Linked DNA regions of Caenorhabditis elegans. The protein of the gene in region 2 purifies or fractionates together with the protein of the main gene of each other region. This does not show direct contact. Each region holds a gene or a part of one and is shown on either strand. Other genes may lie near its edges. The genes, in order: rpl-35A and F47B7.2.

Region 1 (3,584 bases), on a different chromosome or scaffold from region 2:
TCATCATTATAAGCCATTTGACGGGCCATCATACCGCCTCTCGCAAAACTTCCAGCTCTATGAGCCATATTACGAACATGTTCTTGGTCTTTTGCGATAAATGCGGCCTGTGATGCAGCTACAGTTATAGTATCCTCCATTATATCAAGGCCAGCAGTCATTCGTTTCTCTCTTTTACGAACAGTAAGCTCCTCCCAACCTCCAAGCGTCAGCAATAAAATTTTCCAGATAAGCAGGACAATCTTTTTAATTGGAAAATGTGGTGCAGTTCCTATGTAGAACGGATGAAGCATGTCGAAAAGTACAATAAGAAGAGGCTCATTTCCATTTTCGATTGGTTCTTGAACTTCTTCGCGAAACGCTTTTCTGGTTTCAAGATCACTATCGGTTTCGTCTTCTCTTCCAGATCGCTCATCGAGAATTTGAACAATCATATGATAAAGTCCAGCGAGAATTACGCGAAGCATTTCATTATCAACCATAGTTGGCAACTGCCGCGTTCTCCATTTTTCAGAATCCGAGAGATCGGCTAAACTGGCATTCCTGCTACTTCTTGAGCTTGCTTTTGAAATTCTCCCGTCGTTCGGTGGGCTCTCAAATGGTTCTTTAATTTCTGTCATCAACAGAGTACACAACGCCTGAAAATGTACATTTTTAAAACAATGATTGAAAATTATAAAGATATACCTGGTAAACGCCGTTCTTATAACAAATGAAAGAATTCTCGATTGCACGATGGTAGACCATTGAAGGGCCCTCAGGGTCCATTTCTTTGGTTTTTCGAATAGGGACATTCATCAACAATTTTTGATCATACTGATATTCAATTTCCTCATTTTCTAAACATCCAAAGTCTGTTGCTGATCCCTGAAATTTAAATAAATATATATCGAATAACAAATGAGAGACAAACCTGGAGCAGAAAGAGAATTATACGAGCTGATTTCAAACGAACTTCCAAATCTGCACTTTCCATTCGAGAGCAAAGGTCTTGAATAACATAATTTTTTTGGACAGCACTAAATTCTTCGAATGTCGATGGAAACTGTTCGTGCTTGCCGTCCTGTAAAAGAAAAATAACTATTTTCCTGTTGTAAAATCGCTTGCATATGATTCCTCTATATATTCCTTCCAGTTGCTGATGTTAATACCGAACTCTTCTATTTCAGAATAACTGTAAAGTTCTGCCATTTCACGAATTCCTGCATCACCGTCACCATACTCGAAATCTAGATCTTTATCAATGGCGGCAACCTGCAAAACTGTATTGTTTTTCAACTTCTTCATGAAAATTACATTATCAGAGCTTTCATGATGAATGAATCCGCCATACGCTGGAGTTATCATAGGCTGAGCTTCTTTCAGTTGCTTCAATTTCAAAACATTTGCTGATCGTCTTGCGGCCAGTGAGCTTTCGGAGTATTCAACATGTTCATCATCAGCACTTCGCCTTTCTTTGTCACCATAAACTGGAACTATTAGGAGGTTTATTTGATGATATATTCATTTTCTCACCGTCTTCTGCAAAATTAGGCCTGATTCCCATTACATTCGGCTTTCTCGTTCAGTAGAACTAAAAATGAGTATTTTATTCAATTGTCAAGCGCAAGCAAATTCCGTAAGAAACTATTATATAAAAAAACAGGAAAGCAAAAACAAAACAATATTTTTTGCAATTTGCTAAACAACACGCACTACGACACTCCGCTTTAACGTTTAGATGTGCAGGCATTTCTACCGTAGTTATTTTGCGCCTCGACTCGTTTTACGGAATTTTTTCTTTTCTTTTACCAATTTTCATGCTGGCCTACGAATTTTTTGAGCAGAAAATGGATATTTTTGTAATAAAATCAATATTATCATGTTTATCTTATTCCCCGCTGTTCTCTTACTTGGATCATTTACGAAAAACCACTTTTTGATTTTAGGACTTCGTTAAATCTCGATTTTTTGTAAAAAGTTTCAACTTACTTATTCTTCGCAATTATTCTCCAGTCTCATAAAAATTGTTAAAACAGTTATCTGAAAAATGTTCATTTGTTATTTCGTCGCTATTTCGTTTCTCCGTCCACTTTAAACTTCTTCACTAAATTAATTTTCGTTTCAGGTAAAAATGGCTGACACCGCTGTTGCTAGAAGACCATCGGCCCCAACTACTGGACGGTATGTTTTTGCTTTTTTTTTTTAATCAGTGACCGCTGGATATTTTTGAGCTCTGCTGAAAAATATTCAGACTGCAAATTCTTCATATAGTCTTTAAAAAATGTATAGTAGCATTATCCTAACTATTTCTAGTCTTATCTAATCCGCGGCATTTTTTTCCATTTTCTCGGATCAGCAATTCACAAATCAGGACATCAACAAAATAATAATAAATTAATTTTCAGTCTTTACGTCAAAGCCATCTTCACCGGATTCAAGAGAGGACTTCGCACCCAATCCGAGCACACCTCGCTTTTGAAGCTTGAGGGAGTCTTCAACAAGGAAGATGCTGGTTTCTACGCCGGAAAGCGCGTCGTCTACTTGTACAAGGCCCACAACAAGACTTTGGTATCGCACATATATTTTTCAGTTTAATTTTTTTTTCATTTTAGAAAACCGGACACACCGTCGCCACCCGTACCCGTGCTATCTGGGGAAAGATCACTCGCCCACACGGAAACGCCGGAGCCGTTAGAGCCAAGTTCCATCACAACATCCCACCAAGTGCCCTCGGAAAGAGAATCCGCGTGGTAAGATAATTCTAGTTTTATTCAATTGCACATTGATTTCTTTCAGCTTCTCTACCCATCCAACATCTAAGTGGTGATCTTCTGTTATTGTTATTGTTCGCAGTTGTAATAAACAGTTGTGACTTTGAATGTACGTTTTAAATTGTGCAAAATCACATTCTATTGAAAACATTAATTCATATAATTGTAAGTTTATTGTGAAACTTTCTCTTCTGGAAACGTATATTTTCTAAAGTTTTTATTAACAAAATTGGAGCGATTTAAGGTTTTAAGGATGAATTATAGTTTCTATTGTTAATAAGATTAATCTAATTGATGAGAAACATTCTCCGAGTGATGATATTGTCGTCTGTCTTGATAATCTGGATTGGCCTCGTTTTGTTGGGAACTCGATACGCCGCTCGTAAATGTTGTCTGAAAAAAAGAAACTAATCCTGGTTCAAAAATTCGTTCTCACCTCTGGCAAAATTGTTGTGGCACCTGATCGCAAAGAATCTAATGAAGAAAACACTGTTTTGAACATGTGACATAACGAGAAAGTTGAAATTCCCGGACCACAAGTTGGGCAGACTCTTCCAATGTACCAATACAACGCGATGAGAGCGACAAAATGAGCTACAGCAAACCAGAAATGAATTAAGAGAAGGATTGCCAAGTTCACCAGAAACTGAAAAAAATACTTGAAAAACTTTAAGATATGTACCACTCACTCCCAGAAAAGACACGTATCTGTTGCTGAACATGGAATACCATGTTGCTTCTTGGGAAATTATTCCAGTTTCAGTTTCCTCAGTGCTTGTAATATTGACATCTCGTCGCTCGGGAAACAGCTCATTCAGATCGTTCATCTTA
Region 2 (3,930 bases):
CTACTCTTCCACAGTGGCTCCTGATTTCCGTTGGAGAACAGTAATGCATGCACACCGCCATCGGAGAAGAACTTGGTGGCAATTGGATGATTTTGGGTAACATAAGCAACTTTGACACCATTGTTCCCGTGATAATTGATCAAGTTCGCCCATGCTATTACAGATGGACTGTCTTGAACGACAATTGCAAGATATGAAGTTGTTCCAATCGACTTGAACACTTCTTCCAACGTGGTAGTGCTAAAAAGGTTGTTTTGAAATATTTAAATCTGCGTTAATCACAAAATACTTACTCAGAAAGTGGCAAGAAGGTCGGCCAGCTTTCAGGGTTTTGCTTTTGAGCATCGGCTTGAGCAAGACCAGCGATATCATGAGCCAACTTGTTGATGTCATATTTGTCCCCACTGTACTTCATTCCATCGTCCTTATTGTGCGAGTTGTATTTGAAGTACTGAAAATTGTTGTATTAAGATTTCCATTCTCATTTAAAAAATTGTTTGCTTACTCTAAGAGATGGATATGAGCTAACAGAGTGCTCTCTGCAAAGTGGCATGTTCTTGTCATCGGCACAGTTGACCACAGTCACTTGAACGAGCGGAGCCCATTTTTCCAGTTGTCTGAAATTATTGGATTGAAAAAATCGTGGAACTTTTTATTATACATATATTTGAGTATGCAATTTTCAATTGTATAGTTTATAGTTTTTCATTACTCAAAATGAACCGAGATATAACCTTTTCAAGTTTTTGCGGAATGTTTTTTGTTTGATTTAAAAAAATCGTCGGCATGAAAGCCATGCAATCACTATGTAAATATTATCAATGTGCATTCCATTTTGCTAATCTGAACTTACTTGGCGAACTTTTTGAACGTTGGAGCATATCCGATGCAAGCACCACACCATGAAGAGTAGAACTCGATGAAATGTGCTTTTTTCTGAAAAGCTTTCAGTTTATTTTGGAGTTTTTCAAGGGAAAAAACATACGGATCCATAGATAGCTGCACTGAATGTATCTACATCGAGTTCGAGAATCGGATCGTCTTTGTCGTATAGTGATTCGCCAGAGCTTCCTCCAGCGCTGAACGCCAAGATAACTACCAAGATGAATAGCATAAACACTCCTGCAAAAAAACCAATAGCTTATAGTTTTAAACTCCTATTCAAAATTGAAGATTAAAGAAAGATATGAATACACTATTAGACAGAAATTAAACTTATGACAAAAAATCCGTCACACTTTTACTTTTGTTATGATAGTGTATATAGTTCAGACGTCACCAAAAAGGGTTTTCTAAAAATCTAAAATCTCACTAACAGCAAAAAAGGGAAAAGAAGAGAAAAGCGGATTTGAATGTGAGAAACAGCGAAACGCGTGTAGGATAGCGATGAAAGAAGAAAATTCGACTTGCGGACGGGGAAGTGGCTAGTTCGAACAGGTTTTTGGGTGGACGAAGCAAGCTATGGTCGCCTATCTCGAGCGCGGAAGACATTGATTGCAAGCAAAACATACTCGGGGAGAAATTTACTTCGGTGACTTTTTTGTTATAATGTTTCAAGGTATACCTAATTGTAGTGCAAAAAACAAACACCCATTCGGATATGGCGCGTCGAATGAAATGAAAACCGAGTGATGATTCACTGCAATGAGGTCACTCAATAATAAGGTCGCACTCATCCCACGACAGCGCGTCTTCCAATATGTGTTTAATGGGAGTTTCGTTTCGCCTGCCGAACTGTCGCCAAACCCTAGACTACATGACGGTTGGTGCACGGCGGACAGAAGCCAATATCGTCTCGATTATCAAAAATAGAATGGAAATGGTGTCCGGCAGCGGGACAATGCCGTCGAAAGTGAAATATACATCGGCGAATTTGTCTTCTCGCATATGCCAATAAAATTTTTTGATGTGAACCGTACACTAAACGGGCCGTGCTGACGTGCACACCGCCGATCGATAACTCAATTTTCTTGCAACGAACCTGTTATGACGGCAGCTATGCACAGACTCTTTGCCACTCCTGGCTCTTTTTCGTTCATGCGGTGAATTAACCCTGAAATTAACAGAAGTAACAAAATGATAGTGAAGAAAAAATACACAGATTAAACTTAGTAACACAGAAAAATAAACTTAATTAATTCTGAAAAAAAAATAACAAGTTGGCAAATGAGCCTAGGTGCCTGCGTGGAAGTCCGCAATTGTGCGTAGGTTGTAGTGTTTGCAGCCTAAAATTATATGGTGATTGCGTGAAAGTTACTTATTATATTAGTGTATTTAATAAGTTATGTGAGAACATTATGATATTGACGGAATAATAATTTATATTTTATTGAGAAATTTGAATGGAAAATTGAATTGAGAAAAATTGAAATTGAATGTTGTGTTCTGTTATATACACGTTGCATTGAGTATTTCAACATAATGGAAGATGTTTTTTGAAATGAAAAAAATATATACCACGGTTTTCAATAACATTATTATTTAAAAATCGTATTATATTTTTTTTAGCAAGGTTTAAAAAACCATCGGCTCCAAAACTGCAAACTAAACAGGAGATATCTGAAAAAAAAACAAAAAAAAACGTATACCAAAACAGAAAAAGCAAAAAATAAATATATAAATTCAAAACTTTTTGTTTCAAATTTTTGTAGCTGCTCTATATTTGTGACAATTAAAAAAAACAGTACAAAAAAAACAAAACAATATACAATACTGATAAAATTGGTGTCAATAATATTTCATGTTCAAAAACTAATCTGCGTGCATTTTAAACAATTTCAAAATCAAAAAATACATATTTTTCAAAACTACTTAACTAAAATTAAAATGTCTACAGAAGCAGAAGTAACATTTAGATTTCTTCTAGAAATATGTTATAAAAGTTTTTAAATTCTACTTTTTTTATTTAATGCTTAATTCAGTATTAAAACTAGAAAAAATTCACAGTAATAACTGTTGTGACTTGGGCCTAACGCTTCCCCTGCGTCCCAACTTTGCAGATATATGACCGGTCAGGCTCACCCACTCGCCACCACTCATCATCCGCGAATACATTCACTCTCCGTTGTCCTTTTCCGTTTATTATCTATTAATAATAATTCCCTTTTGAATTACCGCCATTTGCGTATTTCCCGATGCAAGCGCGCTCCTCCGAGACCTCCCGTTACTCCGGAGCGTCGTAGCTCCGTAAATCCACACAATAATTCTATCCTACTTTTAGGCCAATCGTTCATTCTGTTCTACCTTTCTCCAGACGAGTCAGCGGCTACCCATCCGCAGACACTGTGATTCAGGACCTTTCTTCACCATTTCCATCCTGATAATCACTTTAATTCCTATTTATATCCTCTGAATAAACTGGAATTTCGTCTGAAACTGTGTACTGTTATTCTCTCCGCACCGCTTATCACCAATGCCGCTCGAACATTGCTCCGTGTCTCTCCGCGCGTATCTGAAATACGCTGTTTGTCACTCGGTAGGGTGACTGACTCCCCTCTACTAGTCCCGAGTGTCAACATTGGTGCATCGACCGTTGCAGCTCTTGATTTTCACTAAAAAATCGAGCTGTATTAAGAATCTGGAGTCAGGCGGAGACACGCGGCGCGGCTAGCGTGCGTGTAGAGTTAGTACGGGTGTTCCTCCTAGAAAACACCCAGAACGGTTGATTTCCCTAGAAATCAGGCGGTGTAGAGCCCACGAGCTCTCCTGCCCGTAGAATATCGATTATTCGCAAAATCAGGTCAGTAGATTGCCCACGAGCATTTCCCACGTGAAATCGCACATTTCTGCTCTTCGTGACGCATATCTGGAAAATTCCGCTGAAAATCACTATTTTTAGCCCAATATTTCATGTAATTGTCAAAATTCCCGAAAAAACCGTCGTTTCCACTGAACCATCCTCTCTAAAATTCAAATCGGGAATTTACAAAT

The links.
Region 1: the proteins of F47B7.2 (region 2) and rpl-35A fractionate together in Caenorhabditis elegans (co-fractionation; one large-scale study listed by BioGRID). This does not show direct contact.

The regions. Positions count from the first base shown.
Region 1 is NC_003280.10:7,103,456-7,107,039, forward strand, and holds rpl-35A (Large ribosomal subunit protein eL33), read left to right. Parts: upstream 1-2,107; 5' UTR 2,108-2,113; coding exon 2,114-2,163; intron 2,164-2,387; coding exon 2,388-2,550; intron 2,551-2,594; coding exon 2,595-2,732; intron 2,733-2,778; coding exon 2,779-2,802; 3' UTR 2,803-2,861; downstream 2,862-3,584. Other genes in the region: farl-11 (DUF3402 domain-containing protein), read right to left, coding at 1-638, 688-867, 914-1,063, 1,108-1,254, 1,297-1,475, 1,516-1,546; F10E7.9 (Amino acid permease/ SLC12A domain-containing protein), read right to left, coding at 3,036-3,146, 3,190-3,399, 3,443-3,584.
Region 2 is NC_003284.9:3,770,886-3,774,815, reverse strand, and holds the start of F47B7.2 (Sulfhydryl oxidase), read right to left. Parts: upstream 2,055-3,930; 5' UTR 2,040-2,054; coding exon 1,982-2,039; intron 1,717-1,981; exon of another isoform or gene 1,585-1,716; intron 1,540-1,584; exon of another isoform or gene 1,277-1,539; intron 1,123-1,276; coding exon 986-1,122; intron 937-985; coding exon 854-936; intron 618-853; coding exon 506-617; intron 452-505; coding exon 294-451; intron 241-293; coding exon 1-240.